4 linked regions of the Mus musculus genome follow. Each later gene encodes a partner of the first gene's protein in a complex. Links are inferred from orthologs where the notes say so. Each region holds a gene or a part of one and is shown in the gene's direction. Other genes may lie near its edges.

The links.
Region 2: Hnrnph2 (region 1) and Pa2g4 share a complex: the UniProt entries of both Homo sapiens proteins name them as parts of the ribonucleoprotein complex. The link is inferred for Mus musculus from reciprocal best matches to the Homo sapiens genes HNRNPH2 and PA2G4.
Region 3: Hnrnph2 (region 1) and Ddx5 share a complex: the UniProt entries of both Homo sapiens proteins name them as parts of the ribonucleoprotein complex. The link is inferred for Mus musculus from reciprocal best matches to the Homo sapiens genes HNRNPH2 and DDX5.
Region 4: Hnrnph2 (region 1) and Srsf1 share a complex: the UniProt entries of both Homo sapiens proteins name them as parts of the ribonucleoprotein complex. The link is inferred for Mus musculus from reciprocal best matches to the Homo sapiens genes HNRNPH2 and SRSF1.

Annotation. Positions count from the first base shown.
Region 1 is NC_000086.7:134,604,179-134,607,560, forward strand, and holds the end of Hnrnph2 (heterogeneous nuclear ribonucleoprotein H2), read left to right. Parts: intron 1-676; 5' UTR 677-729; coding exon 730-2,079; 3' UTR 2,080-2,882; downstream 2,883-3,382. UniProt on the Homo sapiens protein: This protein is a component of the heterogeneous nuclear ribonucleoprotein (hnRNP) complexes which provide the substrate for the processing events that pre-mRNAs undergo before becoming functional, translatable mRNAs in the cytoplasm. Binds poly(RG).
Region 2 is NC_000076.6:128,555,173-128,562,648, reverse strand, and holds the end of Pa2g4 (proliferation-associated protein 2G4), read left to right. Parts: intron 1-1,666; coding exon 1,667-1,730; intron 1,731-1,911; coding exon 1,912-1,990; intron 1,991-2,354; coding exon 2,355-2,567; intron 2,568-3,116; coding exon 3,117-3,211; intron 3,212-3,291; coding exon 3,292-3,419; intron 3,420-3,533; coding exon 3,534-3,587; intron 3,588-3,677; coding exon 3,678-3,743; 3' UTR 3,744-4,883; downstream 4,884-7,476. UniProt on the Homo sapiens protein: May play a role in a ERBB3-regulated signal transduction pathway. Seems be involved in growth regulation. Acts a corepressor of the androgen receptor (AR) and is regulated by the ERBB3 ligand neuregulin-1/heregulin (HRG).
Region 3 is NC_000077.6:106,783,838-106,792,540, reverse strand, and holds the start of Ddx5 (probable ATP-dependent RNA helicase DDX5), read left to right. Parts: upstream 1-4,046; 5' UTR 4,047-4,224; coding exon 4,225-4,268; intron 4,269-5,466; coding exon 5,467-5,632; intron 5,633-5,996; coding exon 5,997-6,093; intron 6,094-6,181; coding exon 6,182-6,315; intron 6,316-6,408; coding exon 6,409-6,474; intron 6,475-7,004; coding exon 7,005-7,146; intron 7,147-7,244; coding exon 7,245-7,405; intron 7,406-7,488; coding exon 7,489-7,661; intron 7,662-8,016; coding exon 8,017-8,127; intron 8,128-8,378; coding exon 8,379-8,440; intron 8,441-8,522; coding exon 8,523-8,582; intron 8,583-8,703. Other genes in the region: Cep95 (centrosomal protein of 95 kDa), read right to left, coding at 1-64, 1,682-1,810, 3,164-3,182. UniProt on the Homo sapiens protein: Involved in the alternative regulation of pre-mRNA splicing; its RNA helicase activity is necessary for increasing tau exon 10 inclusion and occurs in a RBM4-dependent manner. Binds to the tau pre-mRNA in the stem-loop region downstream of exon 10.
Region 4 is NC_000077.6:88,043,821-88,052,663, forward strand, and holds the start of Srsf1 (serine/arginine-rich splicing factor 1), read left to right. Parts: upstream 1-3,552; 5' UTR 3,553-4,018; coding exon 4,019-4,212; intron 4,213-4,669; coding exon 4,670-4,854; intron 4,855-5,222; coding exon 5,223-5,395; coding exon of another isoform or gene 5,396-5,449; exon of another isoform or gene 5,450-5,591; coding exon 5,592-5,786; 3' UTR 5,787-8,843. UniProt on the Homo sapiens protein: Plays a role in preventing exon skipping, ensuring the accuracy of splicing and regulating alternative splicing.

The DNA of each region.
Region 1 (3,382 bases):
TACACGTAATCAACCAATCCTTCTATGAACGTGCCTTCTATGTAGTCTATGTATCTGCACTTTGTTGAGGACACATAGTTCTCCTATAGAACTGTGATTCGTCCGTGGCAGAACTGTGGACTGAAGCTGGCTCCTAAAACTTGTTTAAATGTATATTAATGTCTTCCATTTATCTCTTAGGCTTTAGTACTTCTGTATTTTATTGACTTGTATTCATTCTTTATATTTTTAGGCTATTTAATGGATTTGTTGTATTGTCTCATGAGTTTTGTTTGTCTTTTGATTTAAAGAATATTTTCATTTTTCTATAATGGGATATAGTTGTACATTGTTATATTTAGTTTTAATTTTCTCTCTGTGATGTTAATACATTGGCTCAGTGCAGAAAATTTAGAATATTCGAAATTATCTAAAGGAAAAAAGTATCCATGGAAACAAAAAAAAATTCCTATAGTACTGTTACCCAGAAATAACCACTGTTAATTAGACCTGATACATAAGAGAAATGGTATAAGCACTCGCTAAGTGAATGGATTAAAAGTTTTATGCAGTCTTTGCTCATATGGCTCCTTTGAAAAACTTACTGATGTGAACTTGTAAAATAATAGTTTTCTTTGTTTCTCTTACTATATTATATACACTTTTTCATGACAATAGTTTTCTAATTTTTTTAAAGCCACATTGAATTTGCATTGAGCCAAGCTTGCCACCAAGAGTCCATCAGTCACCATGATGCTGAGCACAGAGGGCAGGGAGGGGTTCGTGGTGAAGGTCAGGGGCCTACCCTGGTCCTGCTCAGCCGAGGAAGTGATGCGCTTCTTCTCTGATTGCAAAATCCAAAATGGCACATCAGGTGTTCGTTTCATCTACACCAGAGAAGGCAGACCGAGTGGTGAAGCATTTGTCGAACTTGAATCTGAAGATGAAGTGAAATTGGCTTTAAAGAAAGACAGAGAAACCATGGGACACAGATATGTTGAAGTATTCAAATCCAACAGTGTTGAAATGGATTGGGTGTTAAAGCATACAGGTCCAAATAGTCCTGATACTGCCAATGATGGTTTTGTACGACTCAGAGGACTCCCATTTGGCTGTAGCAAGGAAGAAATTGTTCAGTTCTTTTCAGGGTTGGAAATTGTGCCAAATGGGATGACACTGCCAGTGGACTTTCAGGGGCGGAGCACAGGGGAAGCTTTTGTGCAGTTTGCTTCACAGGAGATAGCTGAGAAGGCCTTAAAGAAACACAAGGAAAGAATAGGGCATAGGTACATCGAAATCTTCAAGAGTAGCCGAGCTGAAGTCCGAACCCACTATGATCCACCTAGAAAGCTCATGACTATGCAGCGCCCGGGTCCTTACGATAGGCCAGGGGCTGGAAGAGGGTATAATAGCATTGGCAGAGGAGCCGGGTTTGAAAGAATGAGGCGGGGTGCCTATGGTGGAGGGTATGGAGGCTATGATGACTATGGAGGTTATAATGACGGGTATGGTTTTGGGTCTGATAGATTTGGAAGAGACCTAAACTACTGTTTCTCAGGAATGTCTGATCATAGATATGGAGATGGTGGGTCCAGTTTCCAGAGCACCACGGGGCACTGTGTACATATGAGGGGGTTACCATACAGAGCCACCGAGAATGATATTTACAATTTTTTCTCACCTCTTAATCCCATGAGAGTGCACATTGAAATAGGACCTGATGGAAGAGTTACTGGTGAGGCAGATGTTGAGTTTGCTACTCATGAAGACGCTGTGGCAGCTATGGCAAAAGATAAAGCAAATATGCAACACAGATATGTGGAGCTCTTCTTGAATTCTACCGCAGGGACAAGTGGAGGAGCTTATGATCATAGCTATGTAGAGCTCTTTTTGAATTCTACAGCAGGGGCAAGTGGTGGTGCTTACGGTAGCCAGATGATGGGAGGGATGGGTTTATCCAACCAGTCTAGTTATGGAGGTCCGGCCAGCCAGCAGCTGAGTGGTGGCTATGGAGGGGGTTATGGTGGTCAGAGCAGTATGAGTGGATATGACCAAGTTCTTCAGGAAAACTCAAGTGACTATCAGTCAAACCTTGCTTAGGAAGCAAGGGACCATCCAATAACATCTACATGAATAAAAGCTATCTTTATAGGAACTGGATAGAGTAGGGAGGGTGTCTTTATATCCAGTATGATTGGTAAATGGGAAGTACAACTGCTTCTGATCACTATTGGTCAGCTTCTTTCTTCTTTTTCCTTTTTTTTTTTTTAAAAAAAAGAACAAAAATTTAAGTTTTAACAGTTTCGCATTACAAGCTTGTGATTCATGCTTACTGTAAAGTGAAAGTTAAGATTGTTTTCAAACTTTAAGCTCAGCAATTTTGAACACTGAAAATATTCATCTAGGATGTAATAACAAGTTCAGTATTGACCATAACTGTCAACTCCCCTTTGAGCTTTCCTCAAGTTAGTTATGTTGTAGGAGTGTACTTAAGCAGCAAGCATATTTAGGTTTAAAGCAGTTTCACTTACGTTAAATGTTGCTCTTATACCACAATACATCGAAAACTTCAGATGCATGTTGAAAAACATGCTTTTCTGTAAAAAAAAATATATATAGGAGCTGTGTCTATGATTCAAAGTGACAACATTTGGCATGTTTGTTAATTCTAGCTTTTTGGTTTAATATCCTGTAAGGCACGTGAGTGTACACTTTCACTTTTTTTTTTAAAGATCCGGAACAATTTTGAGATGTGATACCAATACATTAGGAGTTTGGTCATGTTATTTGTATGGAATTCTGGGGCTTTGATTTAAACCTTACCTTGTATTGTGAATTCCATTTAGATGTATTGTACTAAGTGAAACTTGTTAAATAAATCTTCCTTTTAAAAACTGGAAAAATCTTGCATAGTTTGATTTTCTTTTTTAAAATCATGTTCTATTATATGGACACACAGTAACTGGCTTTTAAAGTTCTCTGCTGTTGAAATTTTAATTTTTTTCTCAAATATTCCAGGCTATGAATGACTCAAGTTTTGATCCTCCTGCCTCTACTTCCTAAGGATTAGAATTGCAGTCATACGTCACTGTCCAGTTTATGCAGTGCTGGAGAACAAACCCAGGGCTGCTTGCATACAAGACATGAACTGTACCAACAGAGCTATATTCATAGCCTAAATTTTGATTGTGTGTTGCTAGAGGGTAGAGAACAATATTGGATCTCCTTTTCTAAATGCCCTGCCTTATTGTCTTGGTGGTAATGGGGTCTTTCACTGAGCCTGCAACTAGGCTGGCAGCCAGGAAGTCCCAGTGATCTGCCACTGCTGTACACTGCACTGGGGTTATAATCACACTGATCTTACTGGGTCACACTTTGTGGGTGACCATGGCTGGGTTGTTAC
Region 2 (7,476 bases), on another chromosome or scaffold:
AACTAACAGAAACAATTTTTTACAGTTGTGTGTGACCATACAGCCGGGTATGGTGGTGGTGGTGGTGGTGGTGGTGGTGGTGGGGTGTGTGTGTGTGTGTGTGTGTGTGTGTGTGTGTGTGCTGAGTGCGCACACTGTGCTCAGTTTGTATTCATTCCCCTGATTAAATTCTTTGTGTCCTTCTGATAACAACTTCAGAGTTTTCTAGCACTTTGAAGGTACCCAGCCTGTAGTAAGTTAGGCAAGTCTTTTTTTTACTGGCTATTTGCATAATGGTTAGTCTGTAGCTGTTGAATCAGATGCAGTCTATGAGCTCAACTTTTTAAGTCATCTTTTCTTCCCTGGTGTCCATCCTCCTCCCCTGGGATCACGTGTGTGATCAAATTTCCTCATCTGTAAACTAGGAAAAGTGTCCGAGGGACCAGTACCCTGGATGAGGAGGACTGTTAGGGTCAGCAAGATGTCTCAATGGGTAAGGGCCCTTTGTACTCTGCCTGGTGGCCTGTTTGATCCCTAGGGCCTACCTGATAGAAAACAAGAACTGGCCGAGAGCAGTGGTGGCACTTGGGAGGCAGAGGCAGGAGGATTTCTGAGTTCGGGGTCAGCCTGGTCTACAGAGTGAGTTCCAGGACAGCCAGGGCTACACAGAGAAACCCTGTCTTGAAAAAAACCAAGCCCTACAACTTACATTTACTTAGTAATAATAAATGTATGCACACACTAAATAATGTTATTTTCTTTTGCTTATCTTGAAACAGCTCATATATTGTGTATGCCAGGCTGGCCTTGAACTCGGGTTCTCCTGCTTCTGTCTCCCCAAGTTCTGGTAGTAAAGGCACTACTTTGCCAGGCACAGATTTTTTGTTGTTGTTTTTTGTTTTTCGAGACGGGGTTTCTCTGTATAGCCATGGCTGTCCTGGAATTCACTCTGTAGACCAGGCTGGCCTCGAACTCAGAAATCCGCCTGCCTCTGCCTCCTGAGTGCTGGGATTAAAGGCTTGCACCACCATGCCTGGCTTAGGCACAGTTTGTTTGTTTTGTTTTGTTTTGTTTTTGTAAATTAGAGACGAATGTTTTTTGGTTCTATTTGTTCTCTAAATGCCAAGCCAGTGATTCTCACACAACCCCATCATTTCTACCAACAAACTTCTATCCAGGGGAGGGTGGCATATGCCTTTATTCCCGGCACTGGGGATATATCAGATCAGGCATACAGAATTGATAAGCCTTTATAGGTTCCACAGGAAGAAATTACATCTCTAGTCTTGTTGGGAAATACAGGTTTATAGCAAGATTTCTCTAAAAATACTCGCTTAGCTTTGGATAAATTAGTTAACCTTTTTGAGTCTGTTTCCCTTTCCTCTGGATTGGGGTATATAGATTTGCTCTGTTGTCTCCTTGGATCATGTTTATGCAATTTTTTTGTGGGGTGAGACAGGGTTTCTTTCGAGTAGCCCTACTCTCCTGGACTCTATAGACCAAGCTGGTCTTGAGCTGAGAGATCCTCCTACATTTGCCTCCCAAGTGCTGGGACCGTCCCCTGGATATGAGTTTGTAGATGTGATGGGTTGTGTGAGAGTCACTGGCATTTAATAAAGGATGTTAGAAATCTGCCGTGAGAAAGGGTAGGCCGCAGACAAGTCTCACCTGTTGTTTGCTCTTCTAGAACACACAAGTGACTGAAGCATGGAACAAGGTTGCTCACTCATTTAACTGCACACCAATAGAAGGTGAGACCTGAGATAACCAGATCAATTAAGTCTCCTTCCTGGCTCTGGCTTTGTCTAAGGCAGAAACCCCCCATACCTTGTTTCCATAGTCATGTATAATCTTCTTATATGAGTGGACTTAGAAGCTATCGGGGGCCCTATATCCCTGTAGCTGGTACCATAGGTTTTATCCTGTCTGCAGGTATGCTGTCACACCAATTGAAGCAGCATGTGATTGATGGAGAGAAGACGATTATCCAGAACCCTACAGACCAGCAGAAGTAAGCCCAGCCCCGTTTGTCTTTTGCTGTCACATGTTGTCTGTCTAGGCCCCTACTTTGATCAAGATGACCTCCAAACTGCTACAGGTCACTGTGGATCTTCCTTGTTTTCTTTAAGGATCTTAATTATTATGTCTGTGTGTCTGTCTATTCCTGGAGCAAGTGGCACACCTACCTACCTGGTTTGGGTGATGAGAACTGAACTCAGGTCCTGTAAGAGGAGTGTTTGAGGGGCAGTTGTCATTGTGTGTGTGACTGGCCTAGAACTTGTAGCAATGCCCCTGCCTTCTAATGCTAAGGTCACAGGCTTGCTCCCCTATATCTGGCTTTTGTACTCTTAGGGTTCCTTCTCTGTTCCTTTTAGGAAGGACCATGAAAAGGCAGAATTTGAGGTGCATGAGGTTTATGCTGTAGATGTCCTCGTCAGCTCAGGAGAAGGCAAGGCCAAAGATGCAGGACAGAGAACCACCATCTACAAGCGAGACCCCTCTAAACAATATGGCCTGAAAATGAAAACTTCACGTGCCTTTTTCAGTGAGGTGGAACGGCGTTTTGATGCCATGCCGTTTACTTTAAGGTACTACGTGTGGCAAGAGCAGTACTGGGAAACCAGTCTGACACTGTTTGTACACCCAGGAATGGTTTCCCATCCCTTGGCCCTCCCTCCTTCCCTCCCTTGCTCTCCTGCCCAGACTTGTAGCTCCTGAATGAATGCACGTCCCCTGTTCCACCCATCTCCTTGTTGAATATAATATGGAACAACCCCAAACATAATTTCTGCACAAGGATGGCAGTGATTTAAGAACATGCTGAGTGTGGTGGCAGATGCTTGTGATGTCAGCACTCCAGGGGCGGAAGATCAAGAGTTTTAAGACAGCCTGAGCTACATTGAGCAAAACCCTGTCTTGAACAGCAGGGCCATTCAATGTGCAGTTGCAGCCCAAGAACTGTGTAAGACTGCCAACCTAAGTTCAACCCCTGAAACTCATTTAAGAGTAGAAGGGAACCAGCTTCACACGGTTGCCCCCTGACCCCCATCTCCAGTCATACATGGTAATCCCACACTAATACAGAAATGGTGATGCCGGATAGGTGTTAAGGAAACCTGAATCCCGTCTCTCCCCAGAGCATTTGAAGATGAGAAGAAGGCTCGAATGGGTGTGGTAGAGTGTGCCAAACATGAGTTACTACAGCCATTTAACGTTCTCTATGAGAAGGAGGGTGAGTTCTAAGTCTTTTCATTCAAGAGCTCCCTCCCTACAACTTCAGAAGAAACTAAATAACTTTTTGCTTTCCCATAGGTGAATTTGTTGCCCAGTTTAAATTTACAGTTCTACTCATGCCCAACGGCCCCATGCGGATAACCAGTGGTCCCTTTGAGCCTGACCTGTACAAGTCTGAGATGGAGGTTCAAGATGCAGAGCTGAAGGTTAGTGTTGAATGGAATATGAACATGGGACATTTGTGGACGTCCTGGAAAGATTTCCAAAGTACTGCACTTTATGATCCCACATTGCTCAGGACGCCTGCTTCTGTTTTCCAGGCTCTTCTCCAGAGTTCTGCAAGTAGAAAAACCCAGAAAAAGAAGAAAAAGAAGGTGTGTGATGTTAATAATGGGTGGGTTGCAAGCTCACCTCCTGCTCTGAGACACCAGCATACAAATTACTTGTCTTTCTCCTGTCTGTAGGCCTCCAAGACTGTAGAGAATGCCACCAGTGGAGAAACCTTAGAAGAGAATGGAGCTGGGGACTGAGGTGGGTCCCCTCCCCAGCTTGTCATTCCTGCCTCACCCCCTCCCACCGCACCCCAGGCTCTGTCAAGTGCAGTTCGTCTTCTCCACCCAAGACTACCAGCAGAGCGGGGGGTCTTCAGCCCTCATCCCGGTCCCCAACCCACCCACCCACTCCTTTCAACAAAAAACCAGCTCCGACTGACTCTGGTGTTGGGAGGCCAGGCTTCCCAGCCACCGAAGACTACTTTTAGTAGAAAAGAAATTGAATAATAAAATCAGGAGTCAAAATCCACCGTCGTCAAGCCCCTCTTTCTAGCCTTTTCTACTCCGCTTGGTCAAGGTTTGTGGCCCAACTACAAAACAGAAAGGAGGTGAGGTTATCCACCAGCATGGAGGCCTGGACTGGGGATTTTTTGTCACTGACAGCATTTCTCACTCCTGGGGGGGTTTGTTTTTCTTTTCTGTTTCCCCCTATCTGTCATCAAGTATTTAATCTGCCCTCAAAGAGGGCTGGCTGTGGTGGCAGATTCCTTGTGACCTGCTTAGGCAGGGTGTCTGTTTAGGCCCTTCCTATTTCTAGAAGCTGAATTCTCCATTAAGAAGAGATTTTTTTAATCTATTGAATGGATCCTCATTTGTAAAAATTTTTAGCCATTTTTGTTCTGAACAGTCCCTCAATCCTTCCACCCATTTTCACAAAATTGTAAGTAAGTCATACCTTGTTTCCCGCCATCTGGGTCCAGTGCATTTTCCCTCACTTGATTTTAGGCCCTACATTGAACATCCCAGTGGGTTTTTTCCCCTGTTTAAATTGTTTGGTGTGTAAGGTGGGGTGGAGTTGGTTTGAAACAGGGTCTCGCTAATTCCAGCTGGCTTCAAACTATGTCAACCAGGCTAGCCCTCACAGAGAGCCTCCTCAGTGCTAGAGTTAAGGTGTGCACCACCACACCTAGCTACCTACTTTTGAGTTTCCTCTCTTGAAAGAAAAACCAGGAAGCAGAGGAGTAGACTGAAGAGAACTGGCTTTCTGAAGCTGTGGACTTGGATGCTTGCTGGGGGGTTGTAGAGAAGTTACAATTTGTACCTCTGGCATGCTGTCCCAGGGAACTAAGGCTGAGGTTTTTGAAATGACATGGCATTAAAATAAATTTGGATTTGCTCACTGTTGTGTGTTCTCTTTGTGGTGGGGATGGTATAGTTTATCTAAGACAGGATTTCTCTTTGTAGCCTAGCTGTAGGCCAGGCTGGCCTTGGACTCAGACACACACACCACACACACACTTGCTTCCTGAGTGCTGGGTCTAAATCACTTTAAGCATCACTGTCCCCTGGGCTGTCTTAGCTTTTCCAGTTCTTTGATAGAGGTTGGAAGCATTGTCACTCAAGGAAGTGATGATCAACTGAAGGGCTATCTGGGCTTACAAGTGGGTTTGGTTTGGTTTTGTTTTTTTGAGACAGGGTTTCTCTGTGTAGCCCTGGCTTTCCTGGAATTCACTCTGTAGACCGGTCTGGCCTAGAACTCAGAAATCAATCTGCCTTTTCCTGGGGTCCTTGTATAGACCAGGCTGGCCCTGAACTCTCCGGTCTTTCTGCCTCTGCCAGGCTCCCAAGTGCTACAATTAAAACCAGGTGATGTGACGTCACCTGGTTTTAGAAAATCAAAATGAACGCTGTTAGTCTGGAACACAAGCCTTGTTAGTACTGGGGGGCACTTATGCGCATGGCAAGTTGGCCATGAGGGCCTGAGTTGTAGACACATCTGTCAGAACAGCACAGTCACAATAATGTGCTGAGCTGGAGACGTCTACATGCTAGGCAAGCTCTACCAACTAAGTGAAAGCTCTGGTCACTCAAAATACCTCTTAGACAAGTTTTCAGTGTGGTTGGAGTAACTGGTTAAAATTGGTTTAGTTTTACTATTTAAGAAGCGCTGCTGAACCATGAATACTTCAGGGAGCAAAGCTAAATGTCTTCTAAAGCAAAGAGTAGGTTTGCCTTGGTTTTCCTGGACTCTTGAAACTGCTACTTTATGAAATTTATATATATATATATATATATATATATAAATAAATAAATTTTTGTTTGTTTGGTTTTTTTGTTTTGTTTTTTGAAACAGGGTTTCTCTGTGTAGCCCTGGCTGTCCTGGAACTCACTCTGTAGACCAGGCTGGCCTTGGAACTCAGAAATCCGCCTGCCTCTGACTCCCGAGTGCTGGGACTAAAGGCGTGCGCCACCATGCCTGCCTTATGAATTATATTCTTAAAGGCATGGTAATAGGGCTGGAGAGATGACTCAGTGGTTAAGAGCATTGACTGTTCTTCCAGAGGTCCTGAGTTCAATTCCCAGTAACCACATGGTGGCTTACAACCCTCTGTAATGAGAGCTGATGCCCTCTTCTGGTGACTGAAGACAGCAACAATGTACTCACATGAAATTAAACTCATGGTAATTCTCTTGCCACAGCCTCTGACCCTGGTGATCTTGGTGTATGCCACCACACCTGATTGGCTGTTGGCTGTTAGTGGGCATGCTGATTGACACACTATGGAGATGGGATAATGTCTTCCTCAATTTTTCTCCAAACCCCAAACCACAAGAAGCAAACTAAATATCCAGAGTCCTTCAGAGTTCATATAAACTGGTAATACAGATGGGTTTGTAAAATGTTTTCTCGCCTGGCAGTGGTGGCACACGCCTTTAATCCCAGCACTTGGGAGGCAGAGGCAGGCAGATTTCTGAGTTTGAGGCCAGCCTGGTCTACAGATTAAGTTCCAGGACAGCCAGGGCTACACAGAGAAATCCTGTCTCAAAAAAGTAAATAAAATGTTTTCTCTTAGTTTGAGACACTAGCTGAGGCTGTAAAATCATCCTGTTGGGGATTTTTTTTTAATTTATTTATTATATTTATATGAGTACACTGTAGCTGTCTTCAGACATACCAGAAGAGGGCATCAGATCACATTACAGATGGTTGTGAGCCACCATGTGGTTGCTGGGATTTGAACTCAGGACCTTTGGAAGAGCAGTCAGTGCTCTTAACTGCTGAGCCATCTCTCCAGCCCCCCTGTTGGGGATTTTTATCTGGATTTTTAAAATGTCAGCTGGAGGTGGAGCCGTGGTACAGTTAACAGGGCTTATCTGTCATACATGAAGCCCTAAGGTTGGGTTCCCAGTTCTGCTTAGTGTATGCACAACTCCAGTATTTAGAAGGGGAGACAGGCAAAAGGGTCATGAGCTCAAGCCAGCCTGAACAATTCATTTAGCTAAATCCCTTCTCAAAATTTGAGAGTCTATTTTTTTTTTTTTTTTTTTTTTTTTTTTTGGTTTTTCAAGACAGGGTTTCTCTGTATAGCCCTGGCTGTCCTGGAACTCACTTTGTGACCAGGCTGGCCTCTCGAACTCAGAAATCCGCCTGCCTCTGCCTCCCAAGTGCTGGGTTTTTTGTTTGTTTGTTTGTTTGTTTTGGTTTGGGGTTTTTTTGGGTATTTTCTTTATATACATTTCAAATGTTATCCCGAAAGTTCCCTATACCCTTCCCGCACCCTGCTCCCCTACCCACCCACTTCTTGGCCCTGGCATTCCCCTGTACTGGGGCATGTAAAGTTTGCAATACCAAGGGGCCTCTCTTCCCAATGATGGTCGACTAGGCCATCTTCTGCTACATATGAGGCTAGATACACGAGCTCTGGGGGTACTGGTTAGTTCATATTGTTGTTCCACCTATAGGGTTGCAGATCCCTTTAGCTCCTTGGGT
Region 3 (8,703 bases), on another chromosome or scaffold:
GAATCAATTACCGCTTGGACATTGTGGGCCTCGTCTTCTTGATTCCTGGGAAGAACTATGAGGTCTGTATGGCGGGAGGGAAAGTCACATTGTTTTAGATCTTTGAGGAGCCAAATTTTAAAATATAAGTACATATATTTATATTTGTCATAGTCTATGACTAAGCTTCTGAGTAAACTCTGCTATAAAAGCAACTCAAACAAACAAACAAAAAAGAACTTAAGGAGTAAGGAGCCTAAATACTATGCACTAGAGACTGTATTGATTGACTATTGATTGAAACTTGTTTTTCAACACTCTGTATATATTAGTGAAATACTTTTCACGCATGTATGAGTGTATTTTATGGAAGCACCATGAAAAGGGATAAAGAGATCCCTATATTCAAGGCAATAAGATGGTCTAATAATAAAAACAAGGCTGTGCATGATGACACACATCTATAATCTCAGCACTGGAGGGGCTGTGGTAGTATTATGAGTTTGCAACTACACTTGTCTATTAATTCCCTAACTATGAGCCGCTTTCCTTGACAAAGTAAAGCAAAAAATTAAATCCCAAATCAGCTAGACATGGTGGCACATGCCTTTAATTCCAGCATTCATTCAGAAGGCAAAGTACAGCCTGGTCCACATAGCAAGTTCTAGGCCAACTGAGGCTACACAGTGATACTGTCTCAAGAATCAAGAGCAGCAAACCACAGCAGGTGCTCAGGTAGGCCTCTTAAAGGCCGTTACAAGCATCTTCTGGGAATAGCTGGCATAAAAGCTAAAGCACACATAGAGAGTATGGAGAGATCTCAACAGCAAGCCAAGTGTCTCTCTGGTATTGAAGGTGGGTGTAGTGGTGCATGCCTTTGCTCCTGGTGCTCGAGAGGCAGAGGCAGAGGCAGAGGCAGAGGCAGAGGCAGAGGCAGAGGCAGAGGCAGAGGCAGAGGCAGAGGCAGAGGCAGAGGCAGAGGCATTTTATAGTAATGCTTTCTCAGAGCCAAAGGAAGGAGCAGTAAGGATTCTAAAGATAAGGGGTCTGTGATATTTAACAGAGGACACATGCAAATGATCTGGCACCTAAAAGAAAATAAGCAGTCACAGTTAGTCACATTTACTGGCTATTTTCATTTACTCAATCTGTGGACCAGGCTGGACCCCATCTCTGTGGAGAGATCTACCTTCCTTCTGCCTCTCCAGTGCTGGGATTAAAAGCATGCACCACTACAGCATGAATTAGCTATCTTCTCAGTAAATTAGGTTAACCAAATACAAACAACATTTTTTTTCCCTTTTAGAAACAAGGACTATGTAACTTTAGAATTCACTATGTAGACCAGCCTGGCCAACACACTTCACTATAATGTTAATTCTTATCTATAATCAGTAGTTAAGATCCAATAAATTTCAAGACCTATTCAAATTTAGAATCTTGAAGGTAGTTACAGAAATAACGTTTTTAAAGGCATGAATGAACTATATGAGATTGAGTCAAATGGGGATTAATTCAAATAAACGCCAAACCATTTATTTAATCATGGCTATTATTATGGGTGAGGTCCATACTGTACTCATTAAAGCAACTTGCACCATATTTGGATAGAAATAAGATATTGAAAGGGAAACAAAATTCTATGTCAAAGGAAACCTGTGACCTAAGACATAAAATTATTCTCACTTTTCAGTACCCTTACCTGGTACCTTTTCTCCCAAAATGGATTGATAAAGGGCAATAAAAACATTAGCATCACAGTCTTGAAGTTCGTGTATCCTCAGGTGTATGTGACATTTAAAAAGGAGGTTATTGGCAATTGTTACCCATTCTGTTGGGGAAGAAGTGGGGTGGGAGGAGGGGGAAATCAGTCTTCAATAGCAATAGAGAAAGTCATATATATGTACATTTAAAAATCACTGCTGCACAAGAATATACATTGGAAACTGTACAAGATAAGGACTCTTATGAAATTTCAAAGACTCAACCAGGCAAGTTCTCAAAAGATGTATTTAAGATAATTTCCTGTGCTAGCTAGCTTCTTTGAAGTCAAAACAGCTGTTCCAACCCAACTCTTATTCTTGTAACCTAAAATCCTATTTGCCAGTATTTTTATACTCACATGGGTGTTTTTAGTTACAATAAATTTATAGGTAACCAGGAATGTCATAAGTCAGCTGTAAATGATAATCTAAAAGTTGCTAGAAACTAACGGAGGTGGCTCAGAATTCCCAATAGTTTTAGACATGTTTTTACCCAATTATCTTGTGTAAGTTAAGATCTCTCGGGTGCCCAAATAAGGGATTAATTTAGGCTGTTAGGAACTTGAATAATGACAACACCGACACTAATGCATTTGTTAGTTTTCCTTTTATTATATTTGATGTATACGAAGGTAAAAAATGAAGAAAAAAAAAACCCAAATCGCTAAGTTCTAAATTAGCACATTAATTGTTTTCCAAAACCAGCTCTTGCCCTTCCCTAGATAGTGCAGGACTAAGGTTAAGGATTTCAGCAATAATTCCAAAACTTGAAACCCCTGAATCTTGAAATGACTGGAACTGGCCACATTTCCAGTACTGACACACGCTCTGGAGACAATAGTCTGAATATGTCATGCCCAGTATGCCCTCTTCCCGATGCCTATGTCGCACAGCTGACCAAGCCATGACAACCATTTTGGAAAGAGAGGAAAGCGTCCTAGACAACCGAATCAATTGGCTTTTCAAAGGCAGTACTAGAAAATGCCAGTTACTCTAGAGGGCATCAAAAGAACTTATGAGTGCTATGCCTCAAAAAGGAAAAAAAAATCAATATAAAGATAAGTTCTGCCTTAGTCCAAACAAAGCAAGGGGAAAGAGAGACAGTCTGTGGATAGATACCCCACAAAAATTCGGATCCAAGAAAGGATCTTGACTGCTCTATATAGACAGGATGCGGGTGTCCCAGGCTCGACAAAGAGTTCCTATCTCATCCCAAGTCTCAGTTCCACGTCTGGAAACCGCAAGAGGTTTCGAGGCTGAGACCCTAAATTCATAGAACCCCCCCCCCCACCGCGCGCGCGACTGCAACTAGTGTCCGACAGTCCCGAGCCTCCGCAGCGGCGCAGACGCGGTTCAGATTCAGCCCAAGGTCCGCGGAATGCTGCAGTACAAAACCACCAGGGCTCCAGGCCGAGACTCACCAGCCTCTGAGCTGGCCATACTGCCAGGAGAGGTCGCGGCCGGACTCCAAGACGAGAGCGCGGGCGACGGTGTCCCAGAAGGGTCGAACTCGGTCGAGCCGACGGGAGGAGGAGGGGGCAGACACTAGCGAGCGGGGAAGGAGGGGTGGAAGAGGGAGGGACGTTAAAACGGCTTCTCGACGCTGATTGGACAGCAGAGGAGCACTTCCTCGCAGCACGCGCTGAGGCGGCAGTTTGCGGGCTCCAGATACCATTCCCCGCGGTCAAGATCCCGCTTACGGGTTCTCAGATCGGCGGGCAGGGCAGCCAGGTCACCCAGCAGCCCGGCCGATCTCCCCGGGGGCGTTGGAGCCGCGCTTCCGGTGAGTTGGTGGTTTGGTGTTCCTCCGCCGAGAGACCAAGCGAGGAAGTAGTGCGATCCGCCTTGCCCTGGGTCCGATCACGTGATGAGGCCAAGCTCCGCCTCCCTGGTCTCCTTCGGTTATGGGCGTGGGGGGAGTCTGTGGAGACGTAAACATCTTCAAGTAGAGTCGGTGGAATGGCTGGCGCTGGCCATTTTAAGGACCGTCTGGCCACGGGGAAGCAGCTTGTCTGAGGTGTAGCGAGACGAGAGACGGCGGTGTCGCCAAAAGGGCGTCGGGGCGAGGCATTCTAGTGGTGTCACCCAGTCGTGAAGCGAGTAATAAACGGGCGCCGGGGAGGGAGCGCCCGCCCGCGGAGGGGGAGGGGCGAGAACATGGCGGATTCCGGAACCCGGGCGGGCGGGCGTTGAGGGCCTCCGAGCCAGGGGGGCGGGGTGATTAGGTCATAGAGCGGCTCCCAGCGTGCTTTGCGGCGAGGAGGCGGTCCAGACTATAAAAGCGGCTGCCGGGACGCAGCCGGCACCTCATTCATTTCCATCGGTCCTTGCCCTCGCAGCTCCGGCCCTCGACACCACCGGCCCCTCCGCTGGTGACGCCCCCGCAGAGGCTTCGCCGTCGCCGAGGCCTTCTCTCCGCGACTCGTCGCCGCAGGATTCTACTTTCACTGGGTTCCGCCCGCACACCGCCACCATTGACGCCATGTCGAGTTATTCTAGTGACCGAGACCGCGGCCGGGATCGAGGGTGAGTGTGACAAGAGACCTGTCAGGCCGGGTGGGGGATGGGAGAGCGGCGCGGCCGAAGGCTCGCCTTCCCAACCGACCTTTAGATTTTTTTTTTTCCCTTCCTGAAAGGAGGCCTGGCTTTTGTCACACGTCCGGTTAAAAGCCGTTAAAGGCTACGCTTCGGGTAATGGCGTTCAACCTTTTTTTTTTTTTTTTTTTTTTTTTTTTTGGTCCGGGAGGGTGGGCCGGGACCCGGGGCGGCCCGGCGACCTCGCGGCTGTTGAGGGAAACCCGGAGGAGTGTTTTCGGTCGGGAAGCGCCGCGCCTTTGAGGCGGTTCCCGGCGTCGTTTGCGCAATCTTTCGTTGGGTTGTTTTTTGAGGGGGGCCCCCCCTTCCGGTATCCCCGGGGGAAAGAAGGGGCGCTTTCGAGGTCCCCTGTGCCCCGTTGGGTGGCCTACGCCGGCGGATTCGGCCATGTGGCGGAGCCGCAGCCACAAAATGCCGGCCTCGGACATGGCGGCGGCGCCTTTGTTACCCCGCCCGGCGGAGGAGCTCAAAATGGCAGCGGCGAGAAAATGTGGCGCAGAGAGAAATGCGAGACAAAGAAGGAAGCGCCGCCCCAGCGGGAACGCCGCCCGGGCCGGGACTCCTCCCCCGGTTGCTTTCGGCTCCTCCTCTTTTTCTCCCTCGCGTTATATAATTTTGTTACCTTGGTTTGCAGCCGTTCGCGGCGTTTCCCTAGACTCGGCTCGCTGGCGCCTGTTCCCCTTTCTACCCTGTCCGCCGTGCTAGCCTCGTTCAGCTGCTCACATTGCCTTTGCGGCCCCGTTATTTCTTTAAGATTAGGTCCTTTGATGAAAACGGGCAAAAATAACCTTCCTAAGCTCCTCCCTTCTTGCCCAGCTCCTAGACGCTAATGCCTAAGCTCTGTGGGGAGAGAAGATGGAGGCTCTAACTCTTGTCCTTGTAATCTGGTCAGATGTTTGGGCTGTTTGCCACCTGATAAACCCACGATGTTTATTTGGCCTCAGTAGAGTGTGCTTGGGACTTCAGAAAAGAAACGCTGCCAGTTGTGGCTGTCCTTAGAATGACAGTTGGGAAGGATTCCAGAAGCACACTTTGGCTCTATCAAAAGGCAGCAGATGAAATGTGAGGGCAAACCTGTTCATGCAGTATCTTTCACAATGTGCCCAACTTTTGTTTTGTGTGTGTGTAGGTTTGGTGCACCTCGATTTGGAGGGAGTAGAACAGGACCCCTCTCTGGAAAGAAGTTTGGAAATCCTGGGGAGAAACTAGTTAAAAAGAAGTGGAATCTTGATGAGCTGCCCAAATTTGAGAAGAATTTTTATCAAGAACACCCTGATTTGGCAAGGCGCACCGCAGTGAGTTTATAAATGTGGCTTCTTCATGCTGTAACTCAGTAACTGCTTCTAGTCAATTAGATGGAAATGTAATAGGTGCCTTGCAAATGGAGAGTTGCTTGTGGTGCACTTCCATTGAATTTTTCTTGTGATATATGGTGCCCTATTTTAATCCTGTCACTGGGGAAACAGGTTTAGCAGTCTATTGGGCTTCATAGAGACTCAATTTTCATTTAAATAAGTATTATAAATTAATTATTAATTTTTGTTGCCAAGTAGAGTTCTTATTTATGGGTCCAGATTTTTAGAAATAAGTATGTTTAAAAGTTTATTGAGCTATAGGGAGCATGGCAGAAGTCTGAGGCTGAGATAATTTGTTTTTCAGCAAGAGGTAGATACATACAGAAGAAGCAAGGAAATTACAGTTAGAGGTCACAACTGTCCAAAACCTGTTCTGAATTTTTATGAAGCAAACTTTCCTGGTAAGGACTAACTTTCATCTTTATCCTTTCATTTCCCCCCCCCCCCTTGCTTATAAATTTGTTTTTAAAATGGTATTGTTGGTTGCAGCGAATGTCATGGATGTGATTGCAAGGCAGAACTTTACTGAACCCACTGCTATTCAAGCTCAGGGCTGGCCAGTTGCTCTCAGTGGATTGGATATGGTTGGAGTAGCTCAGACTGGATCTGGGAAAACATTATCTGTAAGTCTAGGAAAACTTGATAAATTGTGGCAGAGGTGACCTTAGATATATAACTATTTTAATCCAATTTCTATTATTTTTACTCTTCAATAGTATTTGCTGCCTGCCATTGTACACATAAACCACCAGCCATTCCTAGAGAGAGGTGATGGGCCTATTGTAAGTATTATCTTAAGTTTCCCACCATATTTGCTAAAACTCCTTTGACTTTCATATAGGGAATATAGGGTTGCCAGTATAAACTAGCCACTTAAAATTAGTATCCAGCCCAGGCGTGGTGGCACACACCTTTAATCACAGCACTGGGGAGGCAGAGGCAGGTGGATTTCTGAGTTCCAGGACAGCCAGAGCTACACAAAGAAACCCTATCTCGGGGGGAAAAAATTAGTATCCAAAGACAGTTAGTTGGATCAGCCAATTATAGATACTTGTCATGAGCCTGATCAAGATCAACTACCACAAGGAGAGACCAACTTGCAAAAGTTGCCTTCTGGTTTCTCCATGTGCTTCCACACACAAAAATTTTATCCTGAGAATAGTGCCTGGGAGGTAGAAACTGGAGAATTCAGGAGACACTGTCTCAAAAAAAAGTCTTATGACCACCTGAATTCTAATTCCCAACACACGAAGACATAGGGTCTTAGTAAACTGTTTTATACTAAACACTTTTTTTTGTTTTTCAAACTTAGTGCTTGGTGCTGGCACCAACTCGAGAACTGGCACAGCAGGTGCAGCAAGTGGCTGCTGAATATTGTCGAGCTTGTCGCTTGAAGTCTACTTGCATCTATGGTGGTGCTCCCAAAGGACCACAGATTCGTGATTTGGAAAGAGGTGTGTGACCATAAAGGGGGATCTTTGTCACTGATGGAGATGATGGTTTTGTGTATTATAGTTAAAGCATCTACTCCTTTTTATTTATTTAATTAAAGGTGTGGAAATCTGTATTGCAACACCTGGAAGACTGATTGACTTTTTAGAGTGTGGGAAAACCAATCTGAGAAGAACAACTTACCTTGTCCTTGATGAAGCTGATAGGATGCTTGATATGGGATTTGAACCCCAGATAAGGAAAATTGTGGATCAAATAAGAGTAAGTATCTTTATGTTATCATAAAAATCAGTTCTAGGAATGCTCTTAAGATTGAAGTGTAACTTGCTTCCTTAAATCTTCAGCCTGATAGGCAAACACTAATGTGGAGTGCAACTTGGCCAAAAGAAGTAAGACAGCTTGCTGAAGATTTCCTGAAAGACTATATTCATATCAATATTGGTGCACTGGAACTGAGTGCAAACCATAACATTCTTCAGATTGTGGATGTATGTCATGATGTCGAAAAGGATGAAAAGTGAGTTTACATTTTTACAAATTGAGAAAAATCTTACATAAACTAAGAGTAATCAATTCTGAAAATTGTCTCAAAATAAAATTAAGGTAGTGTGCTATATGTTCTTTTAAAAGTCCATTTGTTGGTGATATGGCTTGGTGTGATATGAAGAACTTGCTTGGCTTGCATGAGGAAAACACTCATAGTTTTTGAACCTAGTCACTACACAAGCACGCATAAAGTGATACACCTGAAAATCTGTATGTGTGGTGGCTTAGTGGGTTTGACATTTGGATTCACTAAGCAAAAAATCAGGGTTGTGTTTGGTTTTGTTTTTATATCCTTTTAAAAATGGTGAGTTTTTCTTCATCTTTAGGCTTATTCGTCTGATGGAAGAAATCATGAGTGAGAAGGAGAATAAAACTATTGTTTTTGTTGAAACCAAAAGAAGATGTGATGAACTTACCAGAAAAATGAGGAGAGATGGGTATGTGGTTTCCTGAGTCAAAGCAGACTTAAAAGTACTTTGATCTGGGGCTAGTGTTTTTTGGGAATCATGCGCTGTGATATAGGGGTAATTGTATGGATTCGTTCCAGTGACTTGTAGTAGGCTCTGGGTTGCAATGCTTAGTGGGAAAACACTTGGCCAAGATGAAGTACAGTGGGAATAGATATTGGTAGAGTCTTGACAAGAGTTTTAAGTTGGGTATACTACTGATAATTTAATTCTTGGTATAGGTGGCCTGCCATGGGCATCCATGGTGACAAGAGTCAGCAGGAACGTGACTGGGTTCTAAATGGTATGTATTTCAAATAAGATTAGTTTGTAGCTTGATAACATCATTTGCTTGCATTAATGATTATTCATGGTTGTCTTTATAGAATTCAAACATGGAAAAGCTCCTATTCTGATTGCTACCGATGTGGCCTCCAGAGGGCTAGGTTAGTACAAACTCGAATTCATGGCTTGGTTTCCCAGAAGATCTCCATGTAGTTTTTTTTAAAGAAAGTTTATTGCTTTCTTTAACCTGCATTTTTTCTAAGTTTTTTTCACATAAAGGTG
Region 4 (8,843 bases), on another chromosome or scaffold:
ATATTGCTATCAACATTAATTTTGTATTTGGCAGGATTATGAACAAGTAGCAGTGAAAATATCTAACTCTGCCAGGTGGTGGTGGCACACGCCTTTGATCCCAGCACTTGGGAGGTAGAGGCAAGCAGATTTCTGAGTTCAAGGCCAGCCTGGTCTACAGAGTGAGTTCCAGGACAGCCAGGGCTACACAGAGAAACCCTGTCTGGAAAAACCAAAAAAAAACCAAAAAACAAAAAACAAAAACAAAACAAAACAAAAAAAAAAAAACCCAAAAACAACAATAAAAAAAACCTCACACTTATTTTCACCCCATTATAAGAAGAAATTGCAGCCAGGTATGATGAAGCACTTCAGACCACCTGGGGTAACATCTTCAGGCCCCCCAAAAAAGACTCATCAGCATTAAAAAAAAAAATTCAATAATTACCAGTGCTGGTATCCCAGAATCAGAGGCAAGTGGATCTCTGAGTTTGAGGCCAGCCTAATTTACAGTGTGAATTTAAAGACAGCTAGAGCTACAAAGAGAAACTGCCTAGAAAAACCAAAACCAAACAAAAAACCTAATTAGTTCACCTAGGAAGTGTTCAACTTGAACTGAATTTGACCTTAGAAGACAAAGAGGAAGGAAGACAAGAGCTAGAATAGTAATTAATATAGGAACAAGTCATACTGAAGATAATCTTTTTGTTACAGATCATTTTAGGAACTTTTTTTTTTTTTGGCAAAGTCATATTGTTAATAATGGGACAACAAAGATGGGCTAATTCAGCCAAAAAGAAAGCAGAAAGACTCAAAGAATTAAGGAAGCCAGTCCTGGAATAAAATTATACCATGGCAGTATTTTTAGATGTCTTAGTTGGGCTTCAAAAGTGGCTTTTGTTATCCATGGAATGAAATCAATCCTTACGAACATTGTCTATCTATCGACAGCAACATCAAGTTTCCATGGAAACAACAGTCTGCTCACTGTTCTACATTTTTCAAGGAACAGTCAGTAAATAATCAGTATTCATTATTGGTAACATAATTTAACTAGGCGAAATGAGACACACATAAACTAAATAAAAAGATATGTACTGCTTAGCAAGGCCTACTAGAGAAGCCATAGAAATAAATGGGTCATTGAACTGGATAAATCTTTCTGAAGTGTTACCCAACCTCAGATACTTTATTATAATAACACAAAATTAACCAGTATTATGTTCATAACCAGTGAGCAATTAAAGATGAAAAAACAAAGATATGTACTATTTCTTTCATTTTCTGAAAATATGTGTAATTAAAACAAAAACCAAGTCAATTTTTCCCAGAATATTTAGGTTTTTTTTGTTTGTTTGTTTTTTTGTTTGCTTGTTTTTCAAGACAGGGTTTCTCTGTGTAACCCTGGCTGTCCTGGAATTCACTCTGTAGATCAGGTTGGCCTTGAACTCAGAAATCCACCTGCCTCTGCCCAGCGAGTGCTGGCGTGGGCCACCACTGCCTGGTCAGTTGAATATTTAGAACTTTGTCTTTTTTTTTAGTAGTAAAAATAACAAAGTTATCACCAAAGAGGTCAATATTAGCATAAATGTTAAAAAAATATAAAATTTTACTTTATTTTATTATATTTTTTTTGTTTGTTTTTTAGTTTTGTTTTTCGAGACAGGGTTTCTCTGTGTAGCCCTGGCTGTCCTGGAACTTACTCTGTAGACCAGGCTGGCCTTGAACTCAGAAATCCCCCTGCCTCTGCCTCCTGAGTGCTGGGATTAAAGGTGTATGCCACCTCGGCTGGCTTTGTTTTTGAAGCAGGGTAGACTCCCAGTGAGCTCACTATTTTCCTTGGTATCTTAATCTCCTGAGGGCTGAGATTACTGATGTGGGCTCCCATGCTTTTATGACTAACAACAACAAAAAACTGTTTTTTTTCCCCTGAACTATTTAGATTTTAAAATCGCTTAAAAATTGGATATATTATGCTCTCCTCTTCTTTACTGTGACTTCTGGTGAGAGTAGTCAAATTTGCAGTAGATCTCCCAAAATTCAACAAGTTCTTCAGGCATTTTGCCTAGAAACCTTATACATCACTTCTGCCTCTCCCCCACTCTCACTGTCCTTGATTTCTCCAGCCAGTCTTAATATTTAATGGTTTCATTTTAAGCAGCCCCACATCCTTGGACTGTTGTAAATAAATGATAACATCCAGGGGCAGCAATGACTCAGTGACTCATCTGGTTAAGGTGCTCCTCCCAAGCCTGACGTTTCATCTCGGGGGCTCACATGGCATGAGTGGTGAACTGCACCTTATTTTCTGACTTTCACACATGGGCCATGGCATGACCCACCACCCCAAGACACAATATGCATAACATAAAAATTAAAAACTAAAAATTACAGTATAAAGAATCACCCTTAGAACCTGTGGGGATCCGACTTAGCATATTTATTAGTGATAGGGTCGACACAGCTCTGGCTGGCCTTGAACCCTGAAATTCCGCTTCCCAAAAACTTCAAGAGGCATTTACCACTACGCCTGGCTGTCTCTATCCAATCATGAAAGGCTCTGGTTTTAGCTGGGAGGTAGTGACTTTGATCCCAGCACTCAGAAGGCAGGAACTCCAGGACAGCCAGGGGTACACAGAGAAATCGTGTCTCAAACAAAACAACCCCAAAACAAAAACAACACCAAGAAAACGTTTTGTTTTTCAATATTTTTAATAGAAAGGGTTTCCCTGAATGTCCCGGGCTAACCTTTCCCCCCGCCTCCCCTTTGGTTTTTCGAGACAGGGCTTCTCTGTATAGCCCTGGCTGTCCTGGAACTCACTCAGTAGACCAGGCTGGCCTCGAACTCTGAAATCCGCCTGCCTCTGCCTCCCGAGCGCTGGGATTAAAGGCATGCGCCACCACTGCCTGGCTCCGGGATAACCTTTACTAGAACTGTGTATAACAGGGTAGGCTGGACCCTCCTTGCCTCAGCTTCCGGAGTGATAGGATTTCAGGCACACAAGCTTAAGTCCAGATTGGTTTGCTTTTATTATAATTCGAGTTCATTAACAACACTACAAGGCCGTATGATTTCACACGTAAGGCTCTTCTATTCCCGTTATTACAAAACAAAGAAGCAAAATTGTGGTATCCAATGCAAGAATCCTTTTGCAGATAATCTTGGCAAAATAAACAAATAAATAAATAATCTCCCTAGACCAGCACAGAACCGGGATCTCGGCTCTGCAGTTAAACTGTTTTATCACTCTTCCTTTTTCATCCTTAGAAAGGAGGAAGAGGAAAACTCAAGGCACAGTTTTCATTTAGATAGATATGGAGGATCCGTCTAGACACTTTAACTAAGATGCAGCCCACCGCAGGTTCCCAGAGGCAGAAGCCACACTGCTCCGCTTCGGCTTTTAAATGAAATCACCTGCAACTCCCGCCGGCGGCACCGAAGTGCAGAAGATGCCCAGGTTTCCGGAGCAACAGCTCAGCGTCATCTATCTCCGCCCCGCGGCGCCTTTCCCGCCAAAGGCCGTTACCACCGCGGAGCATGGTGGGACACGCTTGCAAGATAGGTTTCACCCAATCTTTTTAGAGCGCCGAGCTGCTTTCAGAGAGGGTCTACCCCCGAGGTGGCCGACGATTCTGGACTCAGTGGGGATTAATAATAACCGCTTTAACCAGAGCATGTGATTTTTACTAAACGCCTGGACGTTCCAGCAGCCAGTCAACCCGCCAGGACGCGAGGGACTTTTTCCCCTCCGTGCGGAGGGTGACGTCGCGCGTGCGCGAGCGTGCTTCTCAGCACCCGTTAGAGGCGTGCGCCTGCGCACTGGGAGGGACGAGCCGCTTCCTCCGGCTTCTCTTCCTCCCCCTCCCCCCCGGTATCAGTGCGCCGAGCTGATAAAGGCGCCATTTTGGAGCGGCCGCGGGAGACGTGGTGCCGCTGAGGGCTCGCTCTGCCGTACGCTAGGCTTGGTAGGAAGGCCTCTTTTTTTTTTTTTCCTTCCCCCCCCCCGAGTCCGCGCTTTTCGTCGTCGCCGCCGCCGCCATGTCGGGAGGTGGTGTGATCCGTGGCCCGGCGGGGAACAACGACTGCCGCATCTACGTGGGTAACCTACCTCCGGATATCCGAACCAAGGACATCGAGGACGTGTTTTACAAATACGGCGCCATCCGCGACATCGACCTGAAGAACCGCCGCGGGGGACCGCCCTTCGCCTTCGTTGAGTTCGAGGACCCGCGGTGAGGCAGCGTGGGGCGTGCGCGGCCTTGAGGAGATAGCGTGGAGGAGTTGGGGAAGGCTCGGAGGCCTTGGAACATAATGGGGGGAGAGGAGGGGCTCCGAGGCGCTATCGCCCCTGCAGGAGTCGAGTCAGGAGAGCCGAGAGGCGGCGCGTTGTCTCCGGTGGCCGGCCGCCTCGGACGTCCCCCCTACCCCCCGAGCCCATGCGCAGCCCCCGGAGCGGGAAACCGAGGCGCTGAGGGCCGGCGAGGTGGTCGGGAGCCTCTGCCCGGCGTGGTGCTGGGTGGGGGAAGGGCCGGCCCTATTATGCGGCGCATGTGGGGCTCCGTGTGGCCCCGTGGGTGCGCATGTGCGCTGTGGCCGCGGCTTTTCACCCCCGGAGCGGGCGAACGAGCTGGGTCCGGCGGCTCCCTCCCCTCATCACCCCCCCCTTTCGCTTTCTGTGATCACACGCAGAGACGCGGAAGATGCGGTGTACGGTCGCGACGGCTACGACTACGACGGCTACCGGCTGCGGGTAGAGTTTCCCCGAAGCGGCCGCGGGACCGGCCGAGGCGGCGGCGGGGGTGGAGGCGGCGGCGCCCCGAGAGGCCGCTATGGCCCGCCGTCCAGGCGGTCCGAGAACAGAGTGGTTGTCTCTGGTGAGTTGACTTCGTGCGGGTTAAAATCTTTTTCCCGCATGACTGCTTTGAGTACTGCAAGGTTTTTGTTATTGTTGTTTTTGTTTTGTTTTACACACGGGGTCTTGGACTACTTCGGTCTTTGGGATGAATTTAGTAAATAAAGATTACTGTGGTGGTGATTTACCCAAATTAGGTTGCAGTACTAGCCTATGAAGATCCTTTACAAATAAATTTGGACTCTGGATCTGACTCTTACCAGCTCTTTACCTGGAAACACTTAAGTACAATCATTAAGTATTTTAAAATAATCCTTGTTCGAATGTACTTTACACGTTTGCCGTGGGACAGGATGAGTAGTATTAAATTAGGGGGAATCGCTTTTTCAGGACTGCCTCCGAGTGGAAGCTGGCAGGACTTAAAGGATCACATGCGTGAGGCAGGTGATGTATGTTACGCTGATGTTTACCGAGATGGCACTGGTGTCGTGGAGTTTGTACGGAAAGAAGATATGACGTATGCAGTTCGAAAACTGGATAACACTAAGTTTAGATCTCACGAGGTAGGTTATACACTTATTCTTTTTTTTGGCCAGAATTGGATACAGTTTTCTTAACAGTGGAATTTGAAGGTAAGGATACAGGCAAGGGTGTTCACGTAAATTACCAGAGCCCTGATCTGTCTTTGTATTCGTTCAGCTTGTCTGAAGACAGGTGAAAGCTTAGATCTTTCAATGGAAAGTTCTGTCTATCCAATAGGGAGAAACTGCCTACATCCGGGTTAAAGTTGATGGGCCCAGAAGTCCAAGTTATGGAAGATCTCGATCTCGAAGCCGTAGTCGTAGCAGAAGCCGTAGCAGAAGCAACAGCAGGAGTCGCAGTTACTCCCCAAGGAGAAGCAGAGGATCACCACGCTATTCTCCCCGTCATAGCAGATCTCGCTCTCGTACATAAGATGATTGGTGACACTTTTTGTAGAACCCATGTTGTATACAGTTTTCCTTTACTCAGTACAATCTTTTCATTTTTTTAATTCAAGCTGTTTTGTTCAGAATGGGCTAAAGTGTTGAATTGCATTCTTGTGTAATATCCCCTTGCTCCTAACATCTACATTCCCCTCATGTCTTTGGTAACTTGTATTTTAAGTGATGTCATAGACAGGATTGTTTAAATTTAGTTAATTTCCATGCTCTTCAGACTGTGATATTATGTAAATGTCTATTCTGCTCTGGTTTGTGTGAAATGGGATGTTGGGGGTGTTTGTGGTTATCTTACTTGGGGGAAGTTCTTATGTTTATCTTGCTTTTCATGTGTCTTTCTGTAGACATATCTGAAGAGATGGATTAAGAATGCTTTGGATTAAGGATTGTGGAGCACATTTCAATCATTTTAGGATTGTCAAAAGGAGGATTGAGGAGGATCAGATCAATAATGGAGGCAATGGTATGACTCCAAGTGCTATTGTCACAGATGAAATTGGCAGTATTGACCTTATACTAGAAGGCGAGGGTTAAAAATTTATCTACCTTAAAAGATTTGCAAACACTTAATGCAGTTATCTTCAGCTACAATTGCTTTGCTTTTTAAAACCTTGGCAATTGTGGTAGAATTGCCCATTTTGTAACAATTATTTGCTCCCTTCCCCCCTTTTTGTTTTAATAGGGACTAATGTGGGAAGAATGGCTAATTTGTCACAGTGCTTAGTTACAACTGTTAATGTGTGGCCTGCTGTTGGTGTACATGTGGGTACAGGGTGTCAATTTCCAAACAGAGTATAATATCAATACTGCTAAATCTGCATGTCCTCTGTGTGACTGATAGAGCATTGTTATTTCATTTTTTAAAGACAAAATGACAGCAAAATAATAGAATTCCAACGTATTAGTGTAGATAATCTAGTTGGGAGTACTTTAAGTCTCACCTTCCCTTTTAATATTCATAATTGACTCATGTTTAAAACACTTTAATTTACAAGCTAAATTGCAGATGGGAGCAATAGTTTAGGTTTAGGTGGGTAGTAATACCAGTAAACTTCAATTATATAACTTTGCAACCACAAAACCTGTGATACCTGTACAGTAACAAGTGTTGGCATTATCAGTTGAACTGTAAATATAAAGTGCTTCTTCCAGTTAGTCTCTATAGTTATTAAGTTTCTAAAATTTATCTGAACACCATACAGAAACTTGTTTTGGGGAATTTGATAGTTATTGATGTGCATCTGTAAACTGATGACAGACATAACTCATCATTCCCCAGAAACTTTTTTTGGTTACAGTGTCTAACATTTTGCCTCCTCTTTTTTGGTTTTGCTGGTTATAAAGGTTTGGATTGGAGAGGGCTCACTGGATCCCAATCCTTGGAGCTGGATCATTGGATTCAAATCATAATGTGGATAGGATAGGGAGGATGAATTACCAGGATTCATGGAGCGGGATCAGATTACCAGGAACATAGGAGTGGATTCCTTCCTGCCCCAACCAAACCGCATTCGTGTGGATTTTTTTTTCATTCAACTTAATTGGCTATTCCAAAGAATTTTTTTCCTATTTTTGACGATTGGAGCCCTTAAGATGCACGATGGAATTGTGTTTTGCATTTTTTGGTAAAAGGAGCAAAGCGAGGACCTGGAGATATACGCTGGAGCAATCTCCTTGGAAGGATTCAGCACGAGTAGATGGTAAACATTTAAAGGGGAAAAGGGGGGGTTTGTTTAAAATAGTAAATCAGTAAGTCACTTCTAAATTTAAAGAAAACAAAATTGGAGTTGAAGAATAAGTAGGTTTCCAATTGGCTATTGCCGTTTTTCTTTGAAAAAAATAAACATTTTTTAAAAAACGATGCATGGTTGTCCTTTTTCCTCTTGTAAAATTTTGATTGGGTAACTAGTGTATCAGTTATTTAATTTGATAAGATTCTGATTCTGTTTATGTGTTAGTAAATTAAAGATTCTAATAAATGATGACTGTCTCTGTTGTGGAAGTCTTAAGAGCATAATAAACTGAGTGTAAGGCAGTTACATACGTAACAGTTGTGTAGAGGGTAATGATCTGGAAAGTAATCTTTCATATTTTGCTAAAGAACTTACAGTTGCTGTTTATTTTGGTAATGCTTTAGACAAAATAGGCTTTTGTACAAAGTTTGATAGCTAATCAATTTTAGCTTTGAGATTCTCAGTGGAACTCAAATTCAGTATTAACATTAGGAGACAAAATAGACTACACAGTTTTTTTTTTTTTAAATTTTGGATAGTGTGCTGTCAAATGCTTATTGGGTTAATAAATACATTATAAATCTTTTCAGCCATAGAGTGTTCTGTCGCCAAACTGTTCTGTATTGAGTCAGCAATTATATATATATCTTAGTCTAGTCTACTGTTGTATCTCTACTGATAACCCCTTGAAGCTTAATCTTCATCTTAATTGGTTTGGAGAATGGAACTTTTATTTAAAATCCCAAGCTTGTGATTTCCTCCTGGCTAGAATGAATAGACCACTATTCACCACAGTAGAAATAGCTAGATCTTTAACTTTCCTTGAGTTGCAGGCTAAATATGATATTGTTCAGATGTAATGTAGAATATAGGGGAGACCAGAAATTTTTGCTAGTGAAAGAAACAGGTTTCAAGAAATTTGCATGAGATCTCAGCCTGCTCATTTTAATGACCGCATACACTGTCCTGAAAGAGAAACTAATTCTTTTAAGTTCAAAACTAGGATTTCACTTCAGGAGATGTGTTTAGTAGATGCATTAAGGTTAGGTAGCTGTGTTACAGAACTCAAAGTACAACTAAAAGGATGAGGAATTAGCATAGTTAAACATGGTATAATTGGAAATTTATGGTGTTTTAAAATACATTGTTTTCCTCCAGAGAACCTCACTCTACTCTGGTCTAGACTGGGCCCAAAACTCCAAAGTAAATCCAGTCTCCCAGATTCTGGGATTAGCCATGAAGCACCATGCCCAGCTTACTAAAGTAGTATTAAAAGGTTAAAGCCAGCTAGATAAATG